5 linked regions of the Sus scrofa genome follow. The protein of the gene in region 5 binds, or shares a complex with, the protein of the main gene of each other region. Links are inferred from orthologs where the notes say so. Each region holds a gene or a part of one and is shown on either strand. Other genes may lie near its edges. The genes, in order: ORC3, ORC4, ORC5, LRWD1 and ORC2.

Evidence for each region.
Region 1: the proteins of ORC2 (region 5) and ORC3 are in contact, whole or in part, in a cryo-EM structure (PDB 7JPO), measured with the Homo sapiens proteins. The link is inferred for Sus scrofa from reciprocal best matches to the Homo sapiens genes ORC2 and ORC3. Residues at the interface, in NP_006181.1 of Homo sapiens: Leu239, Glu242, Tyr243, Ala246, His247, Asp268, Arg273, Leu276, Val279, Ser280, Phe283, Glu286, Leu287, Leu290, Lys296, Leu297, His299, Lys300, Met302, Leu303, Gln304, His306, Leu307, Phe309, Tyr314, Gly315, Leu316, Arg320, Glu324, Arg327; in NP_036513.2 of Homo sapiens: Thr3, Ser4, Ser5, Met6, Ser7, Lys8, Gly9, Cys10, Phe11, Val12, Phe13, Lys14, Pro15, Arg20, Ile22, Ile26, Tyr29, Phe30, Lys32, Tyr47, Val111, Thr112, Lys139, Asp318, Lys326, Gln329, Leu330, Leu333, Tyr337, Glu589.
Region 2: the proteins of ORC2 (region 5) and ORC4 are in contact, whole or in part, in a cryo-EM structure (PDB 7JPP), measured with the Homo sapiens proteins. The link is inferred for Sus scrofa from reciprocal best matches to the Homo sapiens genes ORC2 and ORC4. Residues at the interface, in NP_006181.1 of Homo sapiens: Asp501, Asp504, Tyr508, Ser512, Gln518, Glu522, Val554; in NP_001177808.1 of Homo sapiens: Lys168, Asn169, Arg195, Glu200, Leu201, Lys204, Arg205.
Region 3: the proteins of ORC2 (region 5) and ORC5 are in contact, whole or in part, in a cryo-EM structure (PDB 7JPO), measured with the Homo sapiens proteins. The link is inferred for Sus scrofa from reciprocal best matches to the Homo sapiens genes ORC2 and ORC5. Residues at the interface, in NP_006181.1 of Homo sapiens: Val240, Glu241, Tyr243, Phe244, Glu245, Ser248, Asp396, Gln398, Arg401, Gly402, Glu403, His426, Asn428, Ala429, Pro430, Leu431, Met432, Trp433, Asp434, His435, Gln438, Trp445; in NP_002544.1 of Homo sapiens: Asp324, Lys325, Phe328, Leu329, Leu359, Asp360, Arg361, Ala364, Tyr367, Ser368, Ala378, Asn379, Phe381, Ser382, Gln383, Thr385, Ser386, Thr389, Asp400, Gln401, Leu402, Asp403, Tyr407.
Region 4: the proteins of ORC2 (region 5) and LRWD1 are in contact, whole or in part, in a crystal structure (PDB 8SIU), measured with the Rattus norvegicus proteins. The link is inferred for Sus scrofa from reciprocal best matches to the Homo sapiens genes ORC2 and LRWD1. Residues at the interface, in NP_001012003.1 of Rattus norvegicus: Val11, Pro12, Ser13, Val14, Gln15, Phe16, Val17, Gly18, Asp19, Val22, Leu23, Ser24, His25, Ile26, Leu27, Asp28; in XP_038945348.1 of Rattus norvegicus: Pro262, Leu263, His264, Phe265, Leu266, Gln267, Cys268, Ser270, Asn273, Ser274, Pro275, Leu320, Val321, Leu322, His323, Lys324, Tyr325, Lys326, Leu367, Val369, Gly372, Phe373, Cys374, Pro596, Pro598, Val599, Ala600, Val605, Ile630.

Annotation. Positions count from the first base shown.
Region 1 is NC_010443.5:55,994,637-56,000,229, forward strand, and holds part of ORC3 (origin recognition complex subunit 3), read left to right. Parts: intron 1-1,064; coding exon 1,065-1,169; intron 1,170-1,645; coding exon 1,646-1,797; intron 1,798-3,096; coding exon 3,097-3,230; intron 3,231-5,566; coding exon 5,567-5,593. UniProt on the Homo sapiens protein: Component of the origin recognition complex (ORC) that binds origins of replication. DNA-binding is ATP-dependent. The specific DNA sequences that define origins of replication have not been identified yet.
Region 2 is NC_010457.5:4,094,208-4,100,374, forward strand, and holds the start of ORC4 (origin recognition complex subunit 4), read left to right. Parts: upstream 1-2,331; 5' UTR 2,332-2,527; intron 2,528-5,965; exon of another isoform or gene 5,966-6,003; intron 6,004-6,167. UniProt on the Homo sapiens protein: Component of the origin recognition complex (ORC) that binds origins of replication. DNA-binding is ATP-dependent. The specific DNA sequences that define origins of replication have not been identified yet.
Region 3 is NC_010451.4:104,134,631-104,140,223, reverse strand, and holds part of ORC5 (origin recognition complex subunit 5), read left to right. Parts: intron 1-430; coding exon 431-561; intron 562-4,294; coding exon 4,295-4,343; intron 4,344-4,431; coding exon 4,432-4,522; intron 4,523-5,593. UniProt on the Homo sapiens protein: Component of the origin recognition complex (ORC) that binds origins of replication. DNA-binding is ATP-dependent. The specific DNA sequences that define origins of replication have not been identified yet.
Region 4 is NC_010445.4:9,803,486-9,809,667, forward strand, and holds the start of LRWD1 (leucine-rich repeat and WD repeat-containing protein 1), read left to right. Parts: upstream 1-2,765; 5' UTR 2,766-2,921; coding exon 2,922-3,001; intron 3,002-3,479; coding exon 3,480-3,714; intron 3,715-3,820; coding exon 3,821-3,937; intron 3,938-4,360; coding exon 4,361-4,501; intron 4,502-4,727; coding exon 4,728-4,832; intron 4,833-5,066; coding exon 5,067-5,189; intron 5,190-5,264; coding exon 5,265-5,367; intron 5,368-5,546; coding exon 5,547-5,656; intron 5,657-5,867; coding exon 5,868-6,075; intron 6,076-6,182. Other genes in the region: ALKBH4 (alpha-ketoglutarate-dependent dioxygenase alkB homolog 4), read right to left, coding at 2,582-2,704. UniProt on the Homo sapiens protein: Required for G1/S transition. Recruits and stabilizes the origin recognition complex (ORC) onto chromatin during G1 to establish pre-replication complex (preRC) and to heterochromatic sites in post-replicated cells.
Region 5 is NC_010457.5:104,620,687-104,626,279, forward strand, and holds part of ORC2 (origin recognition complex subunit 2), read right to left. Parts: intron 4,331-5,593; coding exon 4,198-4,330; intron 3,392-4,197; coding exon 3,295-3,391; intron 748-3,294; coding exon 601-747; intron 1-600. UniProt on the Homo sapiens protein: Component of the origin recognition complex (ORC) that binds origins of replication. DNA-binding is ATP-dependent. The specific DNA sequences that define origins of replication have not been identified yet.

The sequences.
Region 1 (5,593 bases), on a different chromosome or scaffold from region 5:
AAAAGGCATATGTCCATTTAAAAATACCCTGTCAACATTTTTGTCTCCTAGAAAAAAAAAAATTTGCTTAGTGGTGGCCTGGGTGATTCTGAAACCTTTTTCTTTCCTTCCAAGCAGCTGAAGTTTTATAGTAGCAAGTCTCAGAGCAGTTTTAAGATGTGAGCTGCTGGCCCCTGCCTAAGCACCGAAGCACTTCCTAGAACTCACACATTGTGACGCTAGGGAAATCATCAGTTATCACAATTTTTTTCCAAAGTAGTAGGGAAGTTTCCACTCAACTCTGGTAACTGCATGCAGAGCACTAAAACTCTGTTTGTGGAAATCAGAACCAGGGATTCAGGAGTTCCCGTCGTGGCGCAGTGGTTAACGAATCCGACTAGGAACCATGAGGTTGCAGGTTCGGTCCCTGCCCTTGCTCAGTGGGTTAACGATCCGGCATTGCCGTGAGCTGTGGTGTAGGTTGCAGACGCGGCTCGGATCCTGCGTTGCTATAGCTCTGGCGTAGGCTGGCAGCTACAGCTCCGATTCGACCCCAAGCCTGGGAACCTCCATATGCCACAGGAGCGGCCCAAAGAAATAGCAAAAAAAAGAACCAGGGATTCAGTAAATACTTAAAGGATCTAAAGTTTTAATTAGTTTTTAGACTCTTCCCTCAAAAATCAACTCAATATATACTTCACCTTTTGTATTTATTACTGTGATCATTAATAGTATTAATGATTGGCCTCTCCTCAGTTGTTAAGTTAGGGTCACAGTAAGGCCCTTATTTTTGATTGACTGTTTTAAAGAACTCTGTGAATTTTAAATTACTTCAACTATATGTCCCCAGTAGTTTTTTGAAAGGAAAATTGTGCTAAATACCTTTCCTGGCTAGTGTGTGCCTCTGCGTGTCTACTTTTAATAGAGATCTCTTCATCTCTGTGGTATATTTTCTTAGTTTTTGTTACTAACCATGTTTTAAAAATATTTTTACTTCATAATTTACTTGACATGTTAAATAGCTTTTTTGTTATTAAATTATTAATGATAAAATGATGGTATAATATTGATTTATTATCCCATAGGTGTGAATGTAACAGATCATGACTTAACATTCAGGAGTCTAACAGAAGCCCTTCAGAATAATGTCACTCCATATGTAGTCTCATTGCAAGCTAAAGATTGTCCAGGTGAAGTATTAATGCTCTAATAACCTTGATGAGATGTTACACATCTCTTCCGTCTTCTTTCTGGCTGTCTTTATCCCTTTTTATTTGTGGGAAGAGCATGACACTGAGTTTTTGGCAGGATGAGGTTCAGTACCTCACAGAGTAATCCCGAGCCTTCAAAACCTTTTGCTGTCCGGTGTTATATAAGTACATATTATTCCTAATATAATATATAGTTTTCAGGTTTATGCATTTGCTTAGGTAATACTTTTCTTATAGACAATAGACATAAACTTTAGTGTTAGTCTGAATTAATGAAATTTAAATATTGGGAGGATGTTAATGAACCTTAATAGTTAGTATGTTAAATGTTATGTCAATGTTAATTGTAGAAAAACACATTCTACCCAAATAGTTTAATATACTGATCAAGAAATTTCAGGTGTTTTAGATTTGTTTTAAGGGGATATGATTTATTTACATTTTATATTCTGCAGATATTAAGCATTTTTTGCAAAAGCTCACCTCACAATTGATGGACTGCAATGTAGATGTGCCATCCAAAGAGAAAGAAAGTGTTCAGTTCACTCAGAAGAAGACACATTATTCCATGGATTCTCTTTCCAGTTGGTACATGAATGTCACACAGGTAAATGTAAATTGACATTTTTTCCCACCAGGAAATTGGCATATGATTGAAGAGGTCTAGAATTACAGTAAAACCATAGTACTTTTTTGTTCTAATAAGGATATGTTTTGGTAGCACCAGTTGTTAATTTAGCAGTAGCTACTTATTTTTCCTAAGGCTATTAGAATTCAGAAGTTTTCTTTTATCAGTATTCTTGATTCCTAGGAAATCTTTAGGTTCATACAAGGCCAGTTTATTTGTGGGAGAATCATCCAGTGACAAAGCAGCATCAGGAATATGTTTCTAGCGCTGTGACAATGGCTTTAACTTTAATATACTATCTCTTAGATTCCTCAACATTTACTTTTATGGGATAGAAACTTGTTTTTAGTACTCATTTTCAACTTAGTTTGATGAAGAGTAGTGTGTGTGTGTGTGTGTGTGTGTGTGTGTGTGTGTGTAAACACACATCGATAATATATCTAATTTGTTCCATGTTTAGAATTCTTGAAGGAGTAAATGTTCTGTATGTATAGTATGTTTGACAAGAAGATATATAGATAGAAGTTTCATTCTCCCGTGACAGACTGGTGAAAGCGAAAACCTAAATGGTTCATGGGGTAACTGCACCATAAAGCCACAACCTTCCTTTATGTTCCTGTGTAGCCAGATAGTATGGGGAAAAGTTACTGTGGTAACATTTTCTGCCAAATGTGGTTGTTTGAAGTCATCATAAGTAAGGTATATAAGGATTAAGCTGGGTCTAATGTTTACCATAATGTCTTCTTTGATCCTTAGTTTCAGATTGTCTAGATATGAAATGCTGCCTGTAGTTTAGGTTAGAAATTTTTAAAAATTGGCATTGGACCAGATGATAGTTGAGATGTTTTCAACCTGAAATTTCACAGTAGTAGAGTAGCAAGTAGTGTTATTCATTATGGTTTTTAATTAAAAATACTGGCCTCACCCTAAAGCAAAGCAAAATATAATATTCTACCAAAAGAAAAATCAATTTTATAGAAAATGTTTTCTTCTCCCCATGCTTTTCCTGTCATTTTCTCAGATAGCAGAAAATATAAATATTTCATATGAGTTATAGATGTTACTGGACCTTTTTCTTCTTGGTTATTATTCCCATGTCAGACACAGAAAGATTCTGCTAATAACTGCTGGAATGAGTTTCTGTTTATTATGTGGGAGAAATAAAAGAAACAATGTTGCTGTGAAATATGAAGGGAGCTGTAACAGCTTGTGGCATTATAGCATTGTTTGGATGGTAAAGCTTACTTTTAACTCCTTCTTTCTACAATGGCTTAAAAGAAGACAGAACCAAAAATGCCAAGAAAAAAGAGGACTGCTTCTAGCCAATGGCAGTCTCCACCTGTTGTGCTTATCTTAAAGGATATGGAAAGCTTCACCACAAAAGTACTCCAAGACTTCATAATTATCAGCAGGTAGATGGTGTATCTCTGACTTTTTTGCAAAATTCTTTTTTTTTTTTTTTTTAAAGGGCCACACCCGCAGCATATGGAAGTTCACAGACTAGGGGTTGAATCAGAGCTATAGCTGCTGGCCTACACCACAGGCATATCAACATCAGATCCGAGCCACATTTGTGGTCTATCCCACAGCTCATGGCAACACCGGATCCTTAATCCATTGAACAGGACCAGGGATCCAACCCACAACCTCATGGTTCCTAGTCAGAATTTGTAACCTGCTGAGCCACAACGGGAAATCAGCAAAATTCTTTTTATTAAGAAAACATACAGCTTTTAACTTAAAAAGCAACTGTTTTCAGAGAACATAAAAGTTTTATCTTCATTTTAATACTAAAGGATTGAAACAGGATGATTTTAAATTTCTTATGAAATTGAACATTTAAATACCGCCTATCAGATTTTCATTTGCTTTTTGATCCAAAAAGGAGAACCAAAAAACAAAAGTTAGCCAATTTTTAGTTATGATAAGGCAGTATAAAAGAATGTCTGACTAAGAATGTCTGTCTCTTACTTGACCACTAAATGGGTAAACCACTCTAGGTTGAGATATTTTTGTCAGGACTTATTTTCTGATACCTGTCCACTGTTAGAAGCTTTGAATTACATATAGCTCTACTGAACAATAATGTTTTTTAAATAACTTATATTATTTCTGATGAGAAACTATTTTCATGATCTTACTGGATCTTTAAGACAGTCTTCTGAGACTTGAAATTGAAGTAATTAACCCTATTTAAAAACCCAGTGAAATGCTTTTCCCATGGTACATTTTTTTAGGGTATAATTTATTTTGGCATCTTCTGTATGTTAATTTGCTTAATAGTTTTGGCTACATTTGTCTAAAGCTGTATTGTGTGATAATCTACTAATATAATTCCTATTTTGATAGTATTTATTTTTCCATTTGAAACTGAGATTTCTAGATCCTAAGACTTTTCTTTTTTTCTTTTTTAGGGCTACCCTTGCAGCATATGGAAGTTCCCAGGCTAGGGGTCGAATCAGAACTGTAGCTGCTGGCCCACGCCACAGCAACGTGGGATCCAAGCCATGTCTGCAACCTTCACCACACTCATGGCAATCCTGGCTCCTTAACCCACTGAGCAAGACCAGGAGTCGAACCCACATCCTAATGGATACTAGTCGGGTTCGTTACCACTGAGCCACAACTCCAAGATCCTAAGACTTTTCTTAATGCTAACACTGAGCTGATTAAAGTACCAGTAATAGAGTCTGAGTACTTTAGTACTGTGAGAGCAGAAAAAAGTCTAGGATACTGAAAAGCAGTAGCTAATAGGAGGGAGCAAGCAAAATCGTCAGCCACAGAACAGAGGGCTCTGACCTACAATAGTTTTTGGAATGTTGCTGTTTTATTCTGTGGAAGTCACTTATATTCATATTGCTTATGCTAAGAATGAATCATGTTCAATAAGTCTGAGTTAAGAATGCCGGAAAAGGAGTTCTTGCTGTGGTCAGTGGATTAAGAACCCAACTAGTATCCATGAGGATGTGGGTTTGATCCCTGGCCTCACTCAGGGGTTAAAGAATCTGGTGTTGTGGTGAGCTGTGGTGTAGATTGCAGATGCAGCTCAGATCTGGTGTTACTGTGGCTGTTGCGTAGGCCAGAGCTGGAGCTCTGATTCAACCCCTAGCCCGGGAACTTCCATATGCTGCAAGTGTGGCATTAAAAAAAAAAAAAAAAAAAAAAAAAATGCCAGGAGAGAATGTAACATTTTTAAATGATGTTCATTAAATATATCTCTTACATATTTTTAAGAAAAGTTTTCTAAATCTTAGCTATTATGGCTTGGTGACCTAGTGTCTATTAGAAATGTCCATAAATAGAATAAGTTACTTGAAAATGAATGTGCTTCACCTCACTGAACTCTTAAAACATAGACTGGATGTCCATCCATGAGGAAGACTGTAGGCAGGACTCAAACTTTGGGTGAGAGATTGAATGGTATCTAACACCTCTTCTAACATTTGAGATTGTATAACCTCAGGGAGAAACACTAGATCTCTCAGGACCAATGTGTTCTTATTTATAAAATGAGAGAATCTATTATATAGATTGATTTCAGAGCTAGAATGTCTGGGAAATAATTATTTCTTTGTTTTAACAGAGGAAAATGAACGACCTGAAAAGTTTTTTATTATTTAGAATGATCTTCCTTAGCAGTGTGTTATGAAGTCAACATTAAAGTAAAAGTTGTCTTATTTTAAAATATGATGTGCTGAAATAGATTTGCTAAAGGCATTGCACTTTTGTATCTTCCTTTGAAAACTAGTCAACATCTACATGAATTTCCACTAAT
Region 2 (6,167 bases), about 100 Mb from region 5:
AATTATGGGATCAGAGATACCAATGCAGTTACAAAAAAGGGTGTGTGTGAGAGAGAAAGTGAGTGAGTGTGTGTGTGTGTATGAATGTGTGCATCCATCTTTAAGGAAAGGATAAAGAAATGTACATATGAAACAAAATACCACTTTCCAATGTAAGCCCTGGTAAAAGGCCTACATCAGAAACATACTTTCTAACATTTGTGAAATCAAATACTGTACTAGATTTGAAAATCTTTCACTAAGAACATGCCAAGTGAAAATGGAGAATAGATATTTTTATCAAGATTATTACTCTATAAACCTAAATTTGGATTTATCTTTCAATTAACATCTACAATGCATATACTAACTACAACATCATGATTTCTTCGACTCAGAAAACCATATTTTAGAAATTTTTCTCCTTTCACATATAGTGAGCAATTTGGTTCAGTACCCCCAAGAGATAAAAAACTCATCTCAATTTACAACAGTAAATAAATAATTCAGTTAAAACTGAAAGTGGTACCAATCCAGCAAACTATTGATGGAGAGGTTTGGCCTTCCATGAAGCCAGAACAACATAAAAGTTTTCAATGGGGATTACTTGTTCAGACAAGTTGCAAAGATTAGGAAAATACCCATATTATGAAATAGCGAATATTCTCATCTTATGTAAAATAAATATCAGGAACGTAGCTACAGAGAGACAATACCAGCGGCATTTAAACTTTAAGTATTTTGAGCTATGAACTTCATATGCTAATATATGAACAAACATTTAACAAAAAAAAGCAATAATACAAGCCAAAACCTAACCAAAGGCCTCTATCACCAAAAATTTGAAATTTTCTATGCAAGTCAGACAAAACGAATAAAGGAAAATTAAACCCAGAAAGCAAAAACCAATCAAGTCTGTTCCAACACTGAAGTCAACATCCAAATCACATACAGAACCAAAAAGGGGAAAACACTCAGGTCTACAAATGGATAAGCAGTTCCGATACAATCCAGATCCCGACATTTTCCCACACAGAAACAAATGCAGCAGAGCTTTTCCTAGGAAAAAAGGAAAAAAGCTCTCCAAATGATTTTTTAAAGTGACATCTAGAAAGTGTGCCTCTTTCTGTCTCTTTCCCTGGCGCCTCATTGGAGGAAGGAGGGGGTTGTTTTTGTATTCTCCCCCACTGGAGCCAAGACACAATCAGATGTTAGCTGGAGGAGAGAAACCACTTTTGACAACAGCAAATAAAAATAAAAAGTGCCCTTCCTCCTCTGACAGGATGGGCACCCACCTCACACACCCCTCCCCACTCCTACTCCTCCTTCACCACCCCCCAGCACCACCCCCTCCTCACCCGGGAGCTCCACTGCGTATGTGGTTTGGTGCTACTGTTGCCCCAGAGTTAAAGTCAGAGCCACAGGAAGGCAATGAAGCCCCCACAGACACACTTACCTTTCCTGCCCCCCACTTTTGAGTGCCTTCCCTGGAGCTGTGGAGGATGACACAAAGGGTAATAAAGAGGGGGGGAGTGGAGGAGGAGGAGGAGGCGAAGGAGGAGGAGAGCTGGGGAAGTGGCTGCTCCTGGGTGTAGTGAGATGTCTCCAGCCAGGGCCAAGCAGCAGTAGCAGCAGCAGCAGCAGCAGCAGCAGCAACAGCAGCAGCAACAGCAACAGCAGCAGCAGCAGCAGCAGAGAAGGGTCTGTGTTGCTAAGAGGCTTTTGGTCTCTTTCTCTCCTCTCACGGCCAAAGAGGAGGAGGATGGAGAGGGCTCGGGAGGGAGGCTAGTGGAGGGGTGAGGGGGTAGGAGTCGTGGATGGGGGGGTTTGGAAGAAGAAGAAACTCCTTCTCCTTCTTTCTCAGGCTCAATCCCCCTCTCAGGTCTCAGGGCTGGAGGGTGGGGGAAGGAACTCAGCCGCCTTCCCCCCACCCCCCTCAATTCAAGGTTGAAGTGGGGTAAAATTAGTGTCCTGTCCCTTTAAAAATAGAAATAAAAGGTGCCCCCCCTCTGCCACTGCCTCTCTCTTCATCATCAGCTGCTGCTGCTGCTGGGGTCTCTCTGCTTGGGGGGGAGGGGGGGTTCGGGTAGAAGAGACGGGAGGCACTCACTGCGCATGTCCCTCTCTGACGGGAGGCTGGTTGGTTGAAGGCAGGAGGAGGGGGAGGGGAGGAAATGTGAAGGTTTCCCAGAAGGCTCCGAGGCGATCGCGACCCGGAAGACATTGTAGCAGGGGGTAGAGGGGCGGGGGCGGGGAGTAGGAGGAAGTCGCTACTCTTTAACACCCCCAGCCCCCTCCTCCTTCCTAAGGGAAAGTGGAGGAACGGAAGTGGGCGTGGACCAAGGCAAAAGGAGGTCACGTGTTTGGGCGGGAGAGGGGAGTGGTGGGAAAGGCGGTCCCTGCGCGGGGCACGCTGGGAGTAGTGGTGTATAGCTGGCAGCCTCTGGGGAGGTAGAGCTGACTACGCGGCGAGAGGAGCTTGTGGATCCTTTTCCGCGGTCTCTAGAATACCGCTCTGCCCTCTTAAGGGCTGGCTTTTTCGTGAGAGGTAACATGGGGGTCGGCTGGCCTCAGAACGAAGGCCATGGGCGCCACTGGCTAAAGGCGAATCGAAAAGGGGAGGATGGAAGGCTTTGGAGACTGGGTATGCGGGAAGGGGGGCAGGCCTGTCTAGGCCAGGCAGGCCAGAAACTAGGCTGGCTTCTTCCATCTCATAGCCTTCCTGTGAGCCTGCGGGCGACGAATCCTTGAAGAGTTTAGGGAGTCCTGATGAGATTAAATCTATGGCAGGTGGAGACTACACCCAGTGGTGGTGAGGAATGTGATGGTCCAGGTGTAAGAGAAAAATTGGATCTCCGGAGCCTTCTGATGACTGTTTCAGCTCAAAGCAGGGGACCTGCCTAGCAAGGGAGACAAGCTGTGTGATTTTTGACAACTTATAGCATTAAATGCATTGCTTATGTTGGATGTTATGACCATCAATCCTTACTTCGCTATCCTTCTAGGAATTCTGGAGTGGCTTTGGGGAGGGAATAAGCTAGGATGTCTCGAGTGGAATTTCTCTCCCTGTCTTGCGTTGTTGCTGCACCACAACGCCTATGGTTGTTCTTAGAAAAGGATATGGGATTGTGTAATCCTTGATATTGTATGTTACCGTTGATAAGGAAGGTATATCATCAAAGTTCTCCCTTTCTGTAGTGTAGATGAGGGTTTTTAAAAATTATTTTAATGGGTTTTTATTTTAAATTACTTTGGTTACTAGCCTCGGATTTAGCCTTTGGTTTTTCAATTAAATGCAACTGGTTTTGCTGGAAATAATGCTTCCCTTATGTTAATTCAGAATATTTAAGAAAAGATTCATGGATTTTCATTAATAAAGGTATTTTTTTCAGTAAAATTGCACCGTTTCTTTTTCACATTCAGTTCATACAATCATAACTAAAACCATTCTAGTCTTTCAGTTAACTTCTTTTGAAGGTGCTTTGAAAGATTATCACTCATGTATAGTTTCTTTTAAGACCGGGAATCCAAAATTCCACATATTTATGTTGTGTTGGTATTATTTAATTCTGTGGTGTGTCCTTCAGCGTACTCTTAGTTAAAGTTACTACTTATTTTCTACGTTTTACTTCTATGTGTTTTGACAGTAGATCCTATTCATGCATCATTGACTGCTTTTACCACTTTCTGTGTGTGCAGTAATCTTGTCGAATGGAGTAAAAACTAGACACCTGTGCCTTAACATTTTGTTTATATTGAAACCAAATGTTTGCCACTTTAGAACAGAAAAAAATTATAGCAAATCAATAAAAGTGCCTTACGTAACAAGTTTTTAATTTTTTACGACAAAATAAAAATGTGCAAAAAAGTGTGCAAGTCGTAGATATGCAGTATAATGAATAATTATAACGTGCACACTTTGTAATCACTACCAAAGAGAGAAAACAATGCTCCGCCCTCCCCCCGCCAATCCATTCCTATTCTTTCCTCCCTCTTCAGTACTCCCAAAGATGGCTGGATTTTTATGGTAACAATTTCTTTTTTTTAAATGTAGTAATGATATTTTTATGGTAATGATTTCCTAATTTTATTTCAAGTGTTTTTAAACCACCTTTTCCGACATTCCTAAACAATACACGTTTTTTTCTATATGTAAATGAGTTATGTATAATTTTTCTCTTACTATGCAATATTTAATCCTGTTAGCTTTAGTTCATGTATTTTTATTGCTGTATAGTAATGTTTATAGTATAGTAAGTGTAGTGTAGTGAGTCCTATTGTGAATAAATCAAAATTTAACTAGTTCAGTATTACAGACATTTGGATTGTGTCCAGTTAAGTTGTCTGTGTTTTTACATAAAGACTTGAGCATTGTGGCAAATATCTTCTCTGTGCTTGTAGCATTTCTCACATCCTGAATAATAGCTTTATCTTCATTTCATTCTTACTGACTTATATACTGCTACTGTTATTTGAATTTTGGGGGGTAATTTTAACTCCAGGGAAAATGTCCTATACTTCTGCTATCTGGTACAGTAGCCACAAGCTATGGAACACTTGAAATATGGGTAGTATTACTGAGAAACTGTATTTTTAGTATTGTGTTAATTTAAATTTGAAAATCGATACTCGATTCAGTTGTCGGAAGATTCATTAAGTATGCTTGGAACAACCTGAGTATGTAAGTTTACTGTCTCAATTGTAAACTTTATAAAAATTAAGACCACATATTTCTGATGACAAATTAGCATCTGAGTTGTTCTGTGAATGTCAAATAAACCTCAGATTTCTAAGATTTAGTATGAGAACAGTGTAAAATTATTTTATTATGATTACTTGTTGAAATTATAATAAATTAATTTCACCTTATTTTACTTTTTTTAAATGTGAATACTAGAAAATATTAAGTTACATGTGTGAGTGGCCTTGTATTCTAGTTGGGCAGCATTGTTTTCTGCTATCAATGTTGAGTCGATATATTTACCATTTTGGGTGTTCTTCATCTCTTCTTGAATCTCTGAATTTTCTTTGGGAATCTTTTTCCTCCTGCCTGAGTATACACTCTTAAGAAATTAATTAATGTAGACATACTGATGGCCAAATTGCTTAATTTTTTTTGCTTACCTTACAATGTCTGTTTCACCTGCAATGTTGAAAAATGTTTTGGGGGTATTGTAGGATTGTGGTTGTTTATCAGCCCTGTTAAAGATGTTCCACTGTTTTATGGTGGGGGGCTGCCATTATTGATTTTGAGCAGTCAGCTGTCTAATTCTTGCTGCTTAGAAGAAATCTGCCTTTAAAAAAATATTTTCTTTGTCATAGATTTTCTGCTGTTTCTTCATGATGCTTTTGTATGGAATTCTTTTTCCCGTTTTGAACTCATTGGGATTCTTGAGTCTACGGATCCACATCTTTTTAGGAAATATATCACCTATGTCCACCCTAACTGTTTCTAGCTACTTGCTAAAAATTACAGTTGTGGCCTTTATTGACATAGTATTTGTAGTTAATTTGTTGTCTGTAGTGCAGAATTCCAGTTTCTTGATTTTTTTTTTTAATGGGTCATTTTCTGTGTTCGTGATTTTCTTTTTTTCTCCTAGTGTGCCTGTGTGATGGTTGTATTTGAAAAATGTTAGGAATACATGAGTCTTAGAATAAGGTCCTCCTCAAGAAGAAATTTTTTTTTTTTTAGGAAAATTGTTTAGGGATGCTACCATTTAAGTCACTTAGTTCATGTTCAAATCTTGGGATCCCTTCTGTTATATACATGATGTTAAGCAGGGCTTCTAATCACACAAGCTTTGTTTTGCTTTCCAGTTCTCCTTTTTCCTGATGATGCTGCCCTTAAGGTCTCAGAATTAGGTGATTGTTTCTTTGAGTGCACATGCTAGATAAGCTCTATGCCTTTGATTTTTTTTTTTTTTTTTTAAATTCCCAATAGCTCTGCAAAGTCACCAGTAACTTGGTCTTTCTTTTTATTTCTTAGTCTTTTATTCTGGATAGACGGAAAACCTCAGGAAGAAGGTACTGAGTGTGTATTTCTTCGTTTATTTTCTCCTAGATTTTGTCATGTAATATCAGATTGACTTATTTTTGTTTGATTTTTATTATTAAGCTTTCTTGTTGACTTTGCAGTTGGCTTGATTTGATCTGCCATTACCATAAATAGAACCCTTATTCTCTTTTTA
Region 3 (5,593 bases), on a different chromosome or scaffold from region 5:
ATTCATGAGTTCTTTTCATTTTAGAAAAAATGAAGAGCATTTTCCAGTTTCCTGATAGTTTATGTAGTACCCCTTGTTTTTATGTAGTTGATTTACCTAATTGGCAGAAAAATGAACTAGAATCCATATTATTTTTTGCCCTTGATGTTAATGTTGCCTGTTAAAAGCTTCTTGAGATTTTTCTTTAGGTGTCATTGCTTAGTGTTTGTCTTAAGTGAAATTTATTTTATTTTATTTTATTTTTTTAAAGAACATTAGATTTTCTTTACCTCAGTTTCAAAACTTGTATTACTTTTCCATTCCAATCTTGTAACTGTTTTATTATTCCTTATAATTGTTGAGCCTGTGTATTTATTGTTTAAATCTTTGTTATAAAATGTAACTAAGGTGCCATGTCAATCATTTCTGTTCATTTATGTCCTGTGAACAGGGAACCTTCAAAAGATCTTGTCCCATGATCATCCTCCAGAATATTCTGCTGATTTCTATGCTGCCTACATTAATATTCTTCTTGGAGTTTTCTACACTGTCTGCCGAGATTTGAAAGAGCTCCGACATCTGGTGAGTGCTCATTTTACTTGAAAAAAACGTACATCTTTTAGTATTTTTTCATATGTAAAGGGTGTGAGATAGGCTAGAAGCTGAAAATTTATTCTCGAAATTTGGATATGGCCTTTTGAGGCCAGTATACCATGAGAAGGTAGAAGTCTGTGGGTTAGGACAAACTTTGACCTATTCAGGAAGTTTTAATAATCTTTAGTTGTGTCTTTTTTTTTTTTTTTTTTTTTTAATTTTATTTTCCCACTGTACAGCAAGGGGGTCAGGTTATCCTTAGATGTATACATTGCAATTACAGTTTTTTCCCCCACCCTTCTTCTGTTGCAACATGAGTATCTAGACATAGTTCTCAATGCTATTCAGCAGGATCTCCTTGTAAATCTATTCTAGGTTGTATCTGATAAGCACAAGCTCCCGATCCCTCCCACTCCCTCCCCCTAGTTGTGTCTTTTCATATTTCCTTGGGAGTGGTTTTTTTTTTTTTTTTTTAATGTCTTCCTTTCTCTTTTCTCTCTTTTCTCTAATGGCAGAAATGCAGCACTTCATTAAAATTATAATGAAGGTTAACAGAAAGGAGATGTGGAAAGCAGTTTTTTGTTTTTTGGTTTTTGGTTTTTTTTTTGTCTTTTTGCTATTTCTTTGGGCCACTCCCGCGGCATATGGAGGTTCCCAGGCTAGGGGTCGAATCAGAGCTGTAGCCACTGGCCTATGCCAGAGCCACAGCAACGCGGGATCCGAGCCGCGTCTGCAACCTACACCACAGCTCACGGCAACGTCGGATCCTTAACCCACTGAGCAAGGGCAGGGACCAAACCCGCAACCTCATGGTTCCTAGTTGGATTCGTTAACCACTGCGCCACGACGGGAACTCCTGTTTTTGGAAGTTTTAAATTTTAGGCCTCTTATGATTTAGCTGTTGATTTCAAGCAACTTCTGAGTAGGGAAAGAACAAAAGACACTGCTCTAGTTCAGTTTCATCATTAACATCTCCTTGGAAGTTAAATGTTGGGATTCCTGGTGCCTAAGGGAAGTGACAGCAGAGGGGCAGAGGAGAGAGGGACTGTATAGTCCCTGGATGAAATGGAGCTGGGAGTGAGTTCTCATCCACTGTCCTTCCTGGGAAATAACTTACAGTTACTACTCCTTAGCACTGATGTCCTTGAATCCTGTGGGAATCTGTGCTGGCAGCCATTTCAAAGTAGATTATAAAATACAGGAAGGAAGAATTATTTAGGGAAACTGTTTGTAGGAAAAGAAAATATAAAATTTAAATGGGTTTTTATAAAGTCCTTTGGGTTTCACTGAGGAATGATTTTATTTAGGGCTGAGGTTGCCGCTTTTTTATTGTTATTGTTACCTTGTATTCATAAACTTGAAGCTTGAAATATGTTTAAGACTTTACTACTAACAAATAGAAGAAATTATCTTTAAGCATTAAAGGAAAAAATAGTATAATGTTCTTATTTTTCTGCATATGTAGAACATAGGATAATAAAGATACATTTTCCTTTTCCCTTCAAATGTTTTGAAGTTTGTAAGTGGCATTATTTCTTTAGAATTTAATAAATCACCTACAGAAGTTTCTTTTGGGGCTTGTTTTCTGTGTCTGAATTTAAATATGCTTTAGGAATTGGTATTTTTTAAAATATTTTTTTGGAAGCTAACTCTGGTAGCTTGAGACAAGAGGAGGTAAAGTACTACAGTGACTAGTCATTTGGGTTTGTCTTCTCTGACAATTCTTATGATCTCCTAAAGAAGTAGTAATTATAATTTTAGGAGGGTCAGTTGAAGAAGTTATTTTTATACTCATATGAATTCCAAAATTTATTTTCTAAAATTTAGTTTAGCATGATTTTTTTTTAAAAAAAATAGCTATCACATTAAATTTGCTGTATTTTAAAACTTTCCCTCCAAATACCATAATTTTCTTAGAAATTACTCAGAAAAATGAATTGCTCATCCAGAGCTTAGTAATTTTTTAGGGTATAGCTCCAAATTTCTGATGCCTGTTTTTGATTTGGTCCTGTGACTATGACATAATGACTAAGAAGGGGATGCCAAATAATTGCAGTGTATATGGTAGAATGAGCAGAGGACTTAATATTAAAATACCTTAACTCAGCTGCTTACCAGTTGTGTCATGTCGAATATGATACTTAATCTTCTGTACTTCAGTTTCCTCATTTCTAAAGAGGGACCAAGAATATATACCCCGGATGATTTCTATGGGTATAAAATGAAATATACTGTTTAAGTGCTTGTAAATAAAAATATATATAATGATGTTAGGTGATATTACCAGTAACACTAAGTAACTTGATACATAGTCTCTTTTTAGATTTTTTAGATTTTTTTGTTTGTTTGTTTGTCTTTTTAGGGCTGCACCCACTGTGTATGGAGGTCCCAGGCTAGGGTTCTAATCAGAGCTGTAGCTGCTGGCCTAACATATATGACGAAACATATATTTTAATGTTTTTACCAAGAAAGAAAGCAGTATATTTTTATTCAGCCACGTTATTTACCAGTTATTGCTAAAATTGTGACATTTTAGCGTTATTAATCAGTACCTAGAACTAAAAATCTGAAATCTGGGAAAGTTGGTCTCTCTCTACTTAATATTAGCAGAATTTGAAAGATTTTTCTGGTTTAAACAGTTACCTTTTATTAAAGAAAATATGAAAAAGTGTTCCAAGGATTTGGTTCTTAGTTCTCTTATCTTCCTAATTTGAGATTTTATAGTTACACGTTTATATACAATCTTTCCTCTAGGTTTTTATTATTGAATCATTTCACTGTGACATACTTGTGACCAAATTAATATTAAAAAATTGCAGTAGCATGTTTTTATAAAGTTACTTAAACTACATTCAGTAGAATTTTGATGTGGAAAACTATTAAGTAATTATGATTAGTTAGTGTTTTTCTGACTTTAGAATACATAGAATCCTGGAGAGATTTTTTTTTTTAAAACTAAGATTCCTGGATCTCATCCTCAGAGATTCTGATCTAGTATGCCTGGTATGCTAAGAACTTGAAGTTATAACAATCATAGGTGGTGCTCTTAATCATATAATATGAGGTGAACTGAACTAGATGACATTTAATTTGTGAGAATGGTCAGACTTTGGAAAAAAAAACAGGTTAATTCTTTGGGCTAGAGGTACTTTACTGTATGTGTTGCGGTCCTTTGTGACATAATTCTGACCTAAAATTACAAATTATGCGTTGTTACACTATTTTATATCTAGAGGCTAATACATAGGCAGAATTTAGCCAATTAAGGAATATTTTACATGTTTTATTATTGTTGATAACTGTGGTTTTATTGTTGTAGGAATAAGCTATAATTAAATTTTACTTGTGCAATTATTCTGAAGTAAAACTGCCTGAAATCTAATAAAAATTTACTTGAAAAATAATTTCCTTTTTTTTTTTGTCTTTTTCTAGGGCCGCACCCGCAGCATATGAAGGTTCCCAGGCTAGGGGTCCAGTCGGAGCTGTAGCTGTGGACCTACGCCAGAGTCACAGCAACGTGGGATCCGAACTGCATCTGCGACCCACACCAACTCACGGCAATGCCGGATCCTTAACCCACTGAGCTAGGCCAGGGATCAAACCCGCAACCTCATGGTTCCTAGTCAGATTCGTTAACTGCTGAGCCATGACAGGAACTCCTGAAAAATAATTTCTAATGGTGATAAAATGCTTTCTTCTCTTTTTTTCCCTTCGTTTATAGGCAATACTTAATTTTCCTAAATATTGCGAACCTGTGGTTAAAGGAGAAGGTAACTATAGTTTTACTATCATAGTATTTCTTTTGAAGAAAATTTCTGTAAGATCTAAATTACTGAAATTTTTCCCCTTTTGGAGTAGCAAGTGAACGTGATACACGGAAACTCTGGAGAAATATTGAACCTCATTTGAAGAAAGCCATGCAGACTGTTTATCTCAGGGAAATATCAAGGTAATTTTCTAAGTAGTATGTTTATTATTTCTGTATCTTTTATTTGTGATATTCACTAAAGTATACATGTTTCTTTACCTTCTTCACATGGGGAAAAAACTGGTTTCAATCATTTCTTATCATTTTGAGAAGGACAAATAATTTTCAGCCAGTGCATTGTACAAGAAATATTTCTAATAGTTGCTAATTTTTTTAAATCTGGAAAGTTACAGGAAAATCAGTTTCAACTTTGTTTTTCATGTTTATGTTAGCTCTTTGGTATAATAAAAATTAATTATTAAATGTATAAATCAAGTCATAAATCTACATTTGTCAATTATTAGAATTTCATAGTAATGAAACTACTCAGGAGACAGTTGCACAGACATAGTGTAGTGAGAACATGGTTTTGATTTCCATCTTAGCTATTTTCTGCCTTATGTGGTCTAAGCAATTTACCTTAAACTTCTAAACCTCCTCTAAGAATCTTTAGATGATTTCAGTAATATATTTGAAAATGATTTGTGAATAATAAAGTGCCTTATAGATGTTAGGTTAAGCCTGCAATACAAAGCAACATAGGAAATGTAAAAATATCAGTACTTTTGTTTTCCTCACTTTTTTTTTTTTTTTTTTTTTTGGTCTTTTTGTCTTTTTTCAGGGCCACACCTACTGCATTTGGAGGTTCCCAGGCTAGGGGTCCAGTCGGAGCTGTGGCTGCCAGCCTATGCCAGAGCCACAGGAACGCAGGATCCGAGCCACGTCTGCAGCCTACACCACATCTCATGGCAACGCAGGATCCTTGACCCACTGAGTGAGGCCAGGGGTCGAACCTGTGTCCTCATAGATGCTAGTCAGGTTAGTTAACCACTGAGCAACGACGGGAACTCCAGTTTTCCTCACTTTCTAATCAATTTTGTTATCATATTTCTTTCATGAATACCTTATTCTGTAACTACTTTGATTTAATTAGGTTGTTATAAGAACTTAGTTTCTGAGTAAGTAGAAACATTACAAAGATAACTGTTATTCCTCTTTTTAATGATAAAAAGTTATTTGATGAGGATTTTTGGAAGTCACAGTAGAAAAGCT
Region 4 (6,182 bases), on a different chromosome or scaffold from region 5:
ACGAATCCGACTAGGAACCATGAGGTTGCGGGTTCGGTCCCTGCCCTTGCTCAGTGGGTTAACGATCCGGCGTTGCCGTGAGCTGTGGTGTAGATTGCAGACGCGGCTCGGATCCCGCGTTGCTGTGGCTCTGGTGTAGGCCGGTGGCTACAGCTCCGATTAGACCCCTAGCCTGGGAACCTCCATATGCCGCGGGAGCGGCCCAAGAAATAGCAACAACAACAACGACAAAAGACAAAAAAAAAAAAAAAAAAAAAAAAAAAAAAGTTGAGGCCCCAGGGCTGTTCGGGGTGAGCAGCACAGGCTGGGAGGCCAAAGGGAGAAGCCCTTTCCGGCCACAGCAGGGGTGTCTCTGGGTCCTGCCCTACACTATGGCAGCACCTGTGGCTCAATTTTCTCTCAGAAAGAGCAGAATTTGCCAGCCTCCCTGGAGGAGTGCTGCGCTGACAACCTTCTCCAGCAGAGCCTTTGGGATCAGCCTCTGATTTTGAGCAGAAGCCACCTCCGTCCCAGGCCTCCAGCCAGTAACCCAGGCCTGGCTGTTTCTGCTCAACACAGGACTGCCTACCAGGCATCTTTGCTCTGGAGCTTCCAGTAGGCTGGTCAAGACTCTGTCGGATCTACATGGATGTCTGGGGTGCTCCCTGCCCAGTGAATTCTGCTTCCTCTTCCTTTATGCTCCACAGGCATCATCAGCACCTCACGCTATCTCTGAGCCACCCTGTCCACTGTCTCTTGGCACCCCACATGTGACACATGGAAAGTAAGGAGTGATCGTGTGTGAGTTCCCAGGCCAGGGAATGAACCTGCACCACAGCAGCTGACCTAAGCTGCTGCAGTGACCAGGCCGGGTCCTTAACTGATGTGCCATAAGAGAACTCCTGAAAAACCTTTTTTTTTTTCCTCTCCTTTTTTTGCCTTTTTAGGGCCAAACTCGTGGCATATGGAGGTTCCCAGGCCAGGGATTGAATCAGAGCTACACCTGCCAGCCACAGTCACAGCCATGCCAGATCTGAGCCGCATCTGCGACCTACACCAGTTCAAACAACACTGGATCCTTAACCCACTGAGCGAGGCCAGGGATCCAACCCATAACTTCGTGGTTCCTGTTTGGATTCGTTTCCACTGCGCCACAATAGGAATTCCCTAAACCATATTTTAAATGCACACTTCAGTGTATAAAATATATCACACTATTGTGCAACCAACCTCCATAAATTTTTCATCTTGCAAAACCGAAAGTCTACCCTTTAAATTACACCTCCTCTTGCTCTTCCCCCCCAATTGCTGGTACCAATCATTCTACTTTCTTTTTCTTTCTTTTTAGGGCTGCACCGCCAGCATATGAAAGTTCATAGGCTAGGGGTCAAATCGGAGCTGCAGCTGCCAGACTACACCACAGCCACACAGCAACACTGGATCCAAGCCGCATATGTGACCTAAGCTGCGCCTCGTGGCAACTCCAGATTCTTAACCTACTGAGTGAGGCCAGGAATCAAACCCACAATCCTCATGGATACTGGTCGGGTTCTTAATCTGCTAAGCCACAATGGGAACTCCCATCATTCTACTTTCTGTCTGGGTGAATGTGACTACCCTAGGGACTTCATGTAAGTGGAAACATGCAGTATTTGCCTTTTTGTGACTGGCTTATTTCACTTTGCCTAATGTTCTCAGGGTTCGTCTTTGTTGTAGCAAGTGCCTGGATTCCCTTCTGTCCTTTTCAAGGCTGAATGATATTCCATGGCATGGATGGACCACGTTTTATTCATCCTTTCATCTGTCCCTGGATACCTGGGTTGCTTCCACCTTTCAGCTACTGTAACTGCTATGTAGCTCTTCAAGACTCTGCTTTCAATTCTTTTGGGACATACCCAGAAGGGGGACTGCTGGGTCATATGGCAGCTCTACTTTAATTTTTCTGAGGAACTGCCACTATTTTCCACAGGAACTTTCAAGCTTTTTCAAGCCTGTGGCAGTTGCTTCACTGGCTTCCCAGTCTCCTTTCCTTCCCATCCATTCCTCCCCTTCCCGGGACCTCTCTAAAATTCACATGTAACTCCCTTTAAAACCCTCAAGAGCTCGCCATGGCCCTCAGGGCAAGTCCAGCCTGCCTTCTGTGGTCAGGCCCACCGGCCTCCCTCACCTGAAGCATCACCCACCTTCCCCAGGCCTCGGCCCAAGCAGTTCCCCAGCTGGAACGCCCCTGCCGCCCTCCGTGGCCCAGGGTCCCTTTTTTTATGAGTTCATTGGAATGAATTTCCTCCTTGCCCACTTCCATCCGAGGCCCTCTGCCCCGGTTTTCGGCCCCATCTACTCTCTTCGTGGGTCTCGTCACCGGACCCTAAAGCTTCCCGCCCCAGACACGGGGGCGCTATGTTTGCTGTCAGACTCCACACAAGTTCGGGGTGAGCTGCTGTCGAACCTTACCCACGTCCCAGGCCCTTCGCCACTCCCAGCTCACTCCTCAAAGCCGTCATCTCCTCACCCCGCTACGCCCCCCTCGGTAGGACCGCTGACCGGTCTGATTCCCGGATGAAGAATGGAGTTGTGGGCGCGGCCCTTCTCTCCCAGCCCTCACCTGCGGGGAGTGCTGCCAGGGCGGGTCACCTCCGCGTTGCCGCTCGCAGATCAGACAGGTCCGGATGCCCTTGCAGCCGCATTCCCGAAGGACCTCGGGGGCCGCCACCGCCGCAGCCGCCATCGCCGCGTCCTGGCAGCCAGAGCGCAGGCGCAGGGCCGCGGGGGCCGCCGGGAGTTGTAGTCCGCGGGCGGGACATGAGGCCCGCGGGGCCGCTTCCTTCCGGTCGTCGCCGGCGACGGATTCGCGCGGCGCCACCTCCTGGACTCGGCAAACCGCTGGCGCCAGCACCGGAGTCCCGTGCCGCCGTTCGGGCCACCGCGAGCCGCGCCTCCCCGCCATGGGCCCCCTTTCGGTGCGTCTGCTCATCCAGCGGGGGAGACCCAAGAGCGACCGGCTGGGGAAGATCCGGAGCCTAGAGTAAGGGCTGGGGCTACACAGCCTACCGCCGGGCCTGGGTCGCCGGGCGATTGGGAAGAAAACCTGGGATCTTTCCTCTCTCCCTGTCCGGCCTCGTTATCACCCTGTCGGTTCCACAGAGTCTTTAATCATTCGGCCCAAACGCCGTCTTCTCGCTATGAGACGGGTCTGGTGGGCCTGGGCTGCTGGGGAGAAAATCTTGCATAAGGAATAGGGAGCAACCTGTTGAGATAACTACAGAGGACCTGGAAAGCAGAGACACCTCCCCCCTCCCCGCCCCCAGAGGATCAGGAAAAGAATCCTGGAGGGGGCCAGCTGCTCCAGGTTCTAAAGAAGTTCTAAGCTAAAGGTGGGGGGATGTTGGGAAAACGCGGGAAAATGTCAGGCAGAAAAGCCTTGTGAAGTGCCTGGGTTGCCATGGGTGCAGGTGGGAGGCCCGCACACCCCCTAAGCCCGTCCTCTCTGCCCTTCCCCCCAGCCTGTCAGGGCTGAAACTGCTCTCAGAGCATCTGGACCCCAAGCTCCTGAGCCGCCTGAAGCAGCTGCAAGAGCTGGACCTCTCCAACAACCAGCTGGAGACACTGCCCGCCAACCTGGGCCTGTCCCACCTGCGCATCCTCCGCTGCGCCAACAACCAGCTGGGCGACGTCACTGCCCTGTGCCAGTTCCCACAGCTCGAGGAGCTCAGCCTGGAGGGCAATCCTTTCCTGACAGTAAGTGTGGGCCCCCGGCGGCTCCATGCCCAGGGCCAGCACTCTATGGGCTTGGGCTCAGCCACAGGCTGAGGCAACCACAAGCTCCTCTTCCCTCACCCCCCAGGTCAGTGACAACCTGAAAGTCTCCTTCCTCCTGCCCAAGCTCCGCAAGGTCAATGGCAAGGATGCTTCCTCCACTTGCTCTCAGGTGGAGAACCTGAACCGGGAGCTGACCAGCAGGGTAAGGGGCGGGAAGGTGTCTCTGGTGCTTGGGAGTCGTTGGGGGCCTTGAGGAGCCAGTGATGGAAGTGAATGTTTGGAGGACACTGAGGGTGGGGTATGGGGGGCAGCTGAGCGGTCCTGAGCCTGACAGTGGTGCTTGGCGTCTTGTCTGTGGAGGTCTGCTCCCCACATGTACAGTCCCAGCAGTGGGGGCTGGGATGCTTTCATGGTGACTCGCCAGCTCCTCCCTTCTGGGGCTGTTTCTCCATGTGTGTTGCTGGGGTTTGTGCAGCATGCAGCTGAGGAGGCTGTGGTTTGGGGAGGCGCCCCGGAGGTGGTGAGGTTGAGACACTTCTGGCCATGGGATTGGAGGCAGAGGTGCCACAAAGGGTCCAGGATGGCTGCGGTGTGCCGGGCTTGAATCTGGCCCCTCTCGTGCCAGGTCACAGCTCACTGGGAGAAGTTTATGGCCGCGCTGAGCCCAGAGGAGGAGACGGAGAAGGCTCAGGCGGACTTTGTGAGGTCTGCCGTCAGGGACGTCCGCTACGGGCCCGAGTCCCTCAGTGACTTCACGCAGTGGCGGGTATGTCCTCACCCCTCTGTGCTGGGAGTCGCTTCTCCCAGCTCCTCCTTGGCTCCCACGGCCTGAGCCGCCTTGGATGTCTCTGGCCTCTAGGGGATGTGGGGGGGGGGGGCGGGTCAGGGAGGGCAGCCCTGCTCACCAGAAAGACCCTTCCCCAACTCAGGAAGCACCCTCTGCCTGGTGCCTGGGGAGGGTCTGCCCGGCTTCCTAGTGGCCTGGCCCACAGGTGCGGATGATCTCTGAGGAGCTGGTGGCTTCTGGTGGGACCCACGTACATGAGGCAGACATCCCAGAGAGGCCCCCCAAAACCAGAGCTACCCGGGAGCCCAGGGTGAGTGTGCTTCCTTCCTGCCTAGAAAGGCATTTGGGAAGCCGGGGGCCGGGGGGCCGGGTGGGGGTGGGGCAGGAGATGCATCCAGATGGTTCTCTCTGACCCTGATACCCTTTGCCTCCCGTGCTCACGGGTGGCTGGGTGGGGGTGCAGTCCAGCCTGTGGTGGGGAGGAAGCCCCGGGAAGATGGGTGTGAGGTCACCACGGCCTCAGCTTCCCCCACCACCTCCACAGGCCAGGCCAGTGGCCTTGAAACGGCCAAGTGACATCCCACTCAGCCTCTCTCCCAGCAAGCGGGAGCTCACCTCTCCACTGGCCCAGGCAGAGGGCAGCCCGGTGGGCTCTGATGGCAGCCAGGTGAGCTAGCAAGGTGTCGGGGCGTGTGGCGGGAGCAAGGGCCGGGGCAGCCGTGACCCCCCTCTGCCCCCACAGCTGGAGCCCCTGCACTTCCTGCAGTGCCACAGCAAGAACAACAGCCCCCGGGACCTGGAGACCCAGCTCTGGGCTTGCGCCTTCGAGCCGGCCTGGGACGAGGGTACAGCCTTGGTGGGCAGGCAGGGCGAGGCGTCTGGGAGTGCCCCCCAAAGGGAGCTGCCCGGGTGGATGGAGGAATCGGGAGGGACAGAGCTTAAAAGGTGTCGGCAAGGTCAGAGGAGGGAGCTGCAGCGGAGACTTCATAGGGGACGTTTTCACCAGGCCGACCCCTCCCAACAGGGCACGCAGGGGCCACATCCCAGACGGTGGCCACGTGTGGCGGGGAGGCTGTGTGTGTGATCGACTGCCAGACGGGCATTGTGCTGCACAAGTACAAGTCGCCCGGCGAGGTGAGCGCCAGGGCCCTGCTCCTGCGGGGCGGTGGGCAAGCCCCGGCTCTGGGGGCAGGAGTGCTGGGGTCAGGGGCCGGACTTGCCACCTACTCACCAGGTAACATTTTCCTTTGATGCGGGGCTGCGGTGCCCCAGGCTGCCTTGGCGCGCGTGTGCACACTGGTAGCTCTGCCCCTTGCTGACTGCTCCGCGTCCCGCCCCGCCCCAGGAGTTCTTCTCGGTGGCCTGGACGGCCTTGACGGTGGTCACACAGGCAGGCCACAAGAAGCGCTGGAGCGTGCTGGCAGCTGCAGGCCTGCGGGGCCTGGTCCGGCTGCTGCACGTGCGTGCCGGCTTCTGCTGCGGGGTCATCCGCGCCCACAAGAAGGCCATTGCCACCCTCTGCTTCAGCCCCACCCACGAGACCCACCTGTTCAGTAAGACCTCTCCCCACACCCTCACCCTGCAGCCTGGCGCCTTGGGGCTCTCTCCCTGGCTGCCCAGGTCAGCTCAGACTGTGGGAGGAACAATGCTTCGTGGCTCA
Region 5 (5,593 bases):
TGTACTAAAAACAGTTTAAAATGTTATAACTTAAGGAGTTCCCATCATGGCTCAGTGGTTAATGAATCCGACTAGGAACCATGAGGTTGTGGGTTCTATCCCTGGCCTTGCTCAGTGGGATAGGGGTCTGGCAATGCCGTGAGCTCTGGTGTAGGCTGGTGGCTACAGCTCTGATTAGACCCCTAGCCTGGGAACCTCCATATGCCGAGGGAGTGGCCCTAGAAAAGGCAAAAGGACAACAACAACAACAAAAAATATTATAACTTAAAACATTAAGAAAATTGGAGTTCCCGTTGTGGCTCAGCAGGTTAAGAACTTGACCAGTATCCATGAGGATGCAGGTTTGATCCCTGGCCTCGCTCAGTGGGTTAAGGATCTGGCGTTGCTGTGAGCTGTGGTGTAGGTCACAGACGCCGCTCGGATCTGGCATTCCTGTGGCTGTGGTGTAGGCTGGCAGCTGCAGCTCTGATTCGACCCCTAGCCTGGGAACTTCCATATGCCATGAGTGCAGACCTAAAAAAGTAAAAAAAAAAAAATTAAGAAAATTAATTTTGTAAGACTGATATCTCAGGAACGAAAAATAGTCATATTTTAACTTACTGAGAGGAGCATTGAGGTGGTCGATGGATGCTATAAGATATATGTTACGTAAAGATGATAACTGTCCAATAATTTGCTGGCTTTTGTCTCCTCTCAACATTTGGCTATCCAAATTGTGGATAAGAAGGAAGAGTTCTAAGGAAGAATCTAAAAGGAAAAATAGTTCAATTATTATTTTCAGTGAGTACAGTGAGTACTTGTGCCATGTATTAAAGAACATATCAAAATAGTATAGGACAAAATAACTGTTGCTTAGGGGTGTGCAATTTATTTGAGAAGATATATCGGTCACTCAAAATAGGCAAGACATTATTAAAGGCTTAACTGAAAGAAATTCACCGGAAATCAGTAAGGACTGGAGCAGTAAGAGACTTGACGGGAAGGACTTGAAGCAGACCATGAAGAAAGCAGTTTTAGTAAGGCACAGGAAATAAAGCGAGATGCACACTGGGCTGGATATGAATTTGTGCATGTTGAATTGCAAGGTGGGAGTGGAGGGGGAACATCTTCCCCCAGAAAGAGTTCTTCTCATTAAGTATTAAGAGCGACTATAGCAAACTCTTATTATCACAATGTCCAAGGGACAAAAAAAAGAGAGAGGAAGAGGCTTAGGATATTGCTCAAGGCATCAGAAGGTCAGAGAAGCAAAACACCATAAAAGTCAGTGAAGGAAGAGTTTGGATGATGATGTCAACATCATCAAATACTAGAGAGATCAAGATAAACACAGGATGAGGCAAGTCAGTTTGTTTAGAAAGGAGGAAATTACAGGTGATCCTCAAGCACACACTTCGGGTAGCATAGAAACAAGAAGGAAATAAGTAAAAAGTTGGAGTTGAAGGCAGGACATGTCTTCAAAAACTCATATGATTGATATAGGGAAATAAAATAGTATGGAAGAGCAGCAAAATCACGTAAATATTTTTTAAGATGGAAGAAGCTCTATGCATGTTTTAAAACCCATTGGTTGGAGTTCCCGTCGTAGTTCAGTGGTTAGCGAATCCGACTAGGAACCATGAGGTTGCAGGTTTGATCCCTGGCCTTGCTCAGTGGGTTGAGGATCCGGCGTTGCCGTGAGCTGTGGTGTAGGTTGCAGACGTGGCTCGGATCCCGCGTTGCTGTAGCTCTGGTGTAGGCCAGCAGCTACAGCTCTGATCTGACCCCTAGCCTGGGAACCTCCATATGCCGCAGGAGTGGCCCAAGAAACAGCAAAAAGACAAGAAAGAAAAAAAAGAAAGAAAGAAATGGGACATTGTCATTTATGGTGGAAGATGAGCCTTTTAGAATAAGTTAATGTCTCTTCCATTGCAGATAGAGAAGAGAGACGATATAGTGACAAAGATTCTGAGACAACACATTCTAAAAGTTGAAGATTACTTAAATTCTAAAAGTCACCATAATCGGTATTTAAATTATACGTAAACAAATATAATTACTATATATGTAATATAAATTATAATTTATATAATTCACATTGATGTAATCCACAATTATATAACATTTATATAAATATATTTTATATGTTATAGATTATATAATAAATATATTTATTATAATACTGTATACAATACCTATTACATATATATGAAATGATTCAGGTACCTATTTTAATGACTGTACAAACAATATTGAAATTATCCATCAAATTGTTAAGCATAACCAATTTCTCCATTTAATTCTTTTTTTTTTTTTTTTTTTGGTCTTTTTGTCTTTTTAGGACCGCATATGGAGGTTCCTAGGCTAGGGGTTGAATCTGAGCTGTAGCTGCTGGCCTACACCTGAGCCACAGCAACACCAGATCTGAGCTATGACTGTAACCTACACTAGCTCATGGCAATGCTGAATCCTTAACCCACTGAGTGAGGCCAGGGATCAAACCCACAACCTCATGGTTCCTAATCAGATTCGTTTCCACTGTGCCACGATGGGAACTCCACTCCATTTAATTCTTAAGTTTTAACTAAATGACAATAGCTGGACCCTAATTTTATTTCTCATTTGGTTATATGAAACACTCATGTAACCAAAATATTCACACCAAAAGAACAATAAATGTTTTTTTCCCAGATTTTCCCAGATTTTAGTATATGAACTCATTCAAATGCATTGATATTTACTCAGGATAAAGAAATAAGAATGCTTTATAAACATATTAAATAATGTAAAAATATCAGACAAACATGTACCAATTAACTGGAGCACTTCACACTGCCCAAATAAAAGTGAAAATTATTCTGAAATAGGAGACTTTGGCTATATAAATTCAAGGTAAATAATTCTTTCCTGTTAGGTAATGGAAGTTTGCAGAAAAAGTTCATAGAAAAAGAAGGGACAAATTATTTTAAAGAAATCTAAACCATCACTGAGAGAAGTGTCATTATTAAAATAACCCTCATTTTTGTGTATATTAGTACATAAATAAATACAAGTATATGATTGGCTTTACCCTAAAACTAGAGCATCAGAGTTACTGCTGTGGTGCAGTAGCTGACTGCAGCAGGTCGGGTTGCTGCAACGGCACTGGTTTGATCCCTAGCCCAGTGCAGTGAGTTAAGGATCTGACACTGGGGTAGGTCACAGCTGTGGCTTGGATTCCATCCCTGGCCTGGGAACTTCCACATGGCACAGGTATGGCCAAAAAAATCCGAACGCCCGCCCCCTCACCAAAAAACGAGAGCCTCTACGTCACATTACCTTCTTTAAATTTGTTTATTATCCAGTCTAGCTGATCCAGCACGCTGCGGAAAGTACCCATATGATCAAGGACTTCTTCTGTTATAGAATTCAGGATCTATGTCATAAAAGGGCAAGAGGTGCATCTATTATCACTTATTCTGTCATGTAGGACAACTATAACTAGCAAATTAATCCTTTTATAAATTAAAAACGAACTTGGATTTCCCTCAAAGTCTAAAAAATCATTTCAAACATTCTCCCAGTACTTGTCTAATTTTTTTTTTTTTTGGTATAAGTATGGCTAAAAGGAAACAGGGGATAACAGCAGAAGTGTAAAGATAATATAAGCAGGCAGTAAAAACAAAAGAAAACAAAAAGACCTCAACGATATAAGAAATATTAGAAAACTATAGATTTATCAAAGAAAAGAGGACACAGACACTGCGGATACCTTTAAAAAGGAGTATTACATTGGTTATATATCCAGCACGTAAAAAGTTTAATTTTCAAATGATGAAGAGATAGGAGCGTTTGGAATAAAAATGATGGAAGAACTATAAACTATTAAGTATATTTTCATATTTTTAGAGTACCAAAGTGACAGAGAAGCAGGATAAAACTGAAGTCCCCCATAATCCTGTCCTTCAGAGAAGTACTGTGGGTATTCAGTGTAGTAAACAAAGTTAACATTTCCTTAGGAATGAATGCATTTTCAGGTACCGAATAGGAAATTTAAGGATGGGGATTCAAGGCTCCAGCCCTCTGATTCAAACACATGATGTAAGGCACGACGCAATCTTACTAGTGTGAAAACAAAAAACAAAAATCGAATGCTCCAGAACTTGAAAGAGGATCGTCGTTAACTTGGGGGGATGGACGGGCAGGGGGTATGATGTTCCTTTTAGCATTTTTAAAACTTACTGATTTCACACTGATTCCAGGAAAGAAGCCATTGATGACAACATGAATGCAATCTTGCAGCATTGCGGTTCGAAATCTCTCTAGTAAATCTCTCTTAGAGCCCAAACCGTAAAGCACAATGTTGAACCCTAAGCTGTAAGAAAGAGAGCATTCATGAGATTAAACTTCAATACTTTTTTTTTGGCTGCGCCTGCAGCATACAGAAGTTCCTGGGCCTAGGGACCGAACCCCTGCCACAGCAGTGACCCCAGCCATAGCAGTGACAATGTCGGATCCTTAACCACTAGGCCACCAAGGAACTCCTAAACTTTGGTACCACTAGATGACAACTTGATAATTAACCAGTTTCCTTAATCTAAGCTTGTAAAAAATACAGGAAGAACTGGCATGGCTAAGTAACTGTACTGATTCCCAACTTACATAAAGCAAAAGCACATTTTTTTTTTTTTTTCCCTTTGGTCTTTTCTAGGGCTGCTCCCATGGCATATGGAGCGTCCCAGGCTGGTGGTCTAATTGGAGCTGTAGCCACAGCCAACTCGGGATCCAAGCTGCATCTGCAACCTACACCACAGCTCACGGCAACACGGGATCCTTAACCTACTGAGCAAGGCCAGGGTTCAAACCCGCAATCTCATGGTTCCTAGTCAGATTCGTTAATCACTGAGCCACAACGGGAACTCCACAATTTTATCCATACCCAAGATGATAGTTCCAGCTTTCAGTAGCTTTCTCTCCAGCTCCCATTACCTCTCAAGTGATACATGCCTGGAGGCAAGGGAGAACAAGGGAGGTACAAGGCACTACAGAGTTTCACAGGCTGAAGGGGAGTTTTAATAGGTGGGTTAAGTTGGGAATGTAAGCAGGGGCCAGGTCACAAAGGTCTTGTTAAGTTAACTAAGACAGTCATTGGATTTTATTCTATGGGATATGAGCATTTAAAAGTAAGAAGTCAAAGGGGGAGGGATAAATTAGGAGTTTGAGCTTAACATATACATACTACTATGTGTATAATAGGTAACTAACAAGGACCTACGTTACAGCACAGGGAAATCTATTCAGTACGCTGTAATAACCTGTATGGGGAAAGAATCTGAGACAGAATGGATATATGTATGCGCATAACTGATTCACTTTGCTGTACACCTGAAACTAACCCAACATTTTAAGTCACCTATATTCTAATAAAATTTAAAACAAAACAAAAAGTAGTCAGCTGTTAAGTGAAAGGTTTTAAGTAAGAAAGGAACATTTTATTTTTTTAAGAAAGATTACACTTGGAGTTCCTGTCATGGCTCAGCAGTAATGAATCCGACTAGTGCCCACGAGGCATGCAGGTTCAAGCCCTGGCCTCACTCAGTGGGTTAAGGATCTGGTGTTGCTGTGAGCTGTGGTGTAG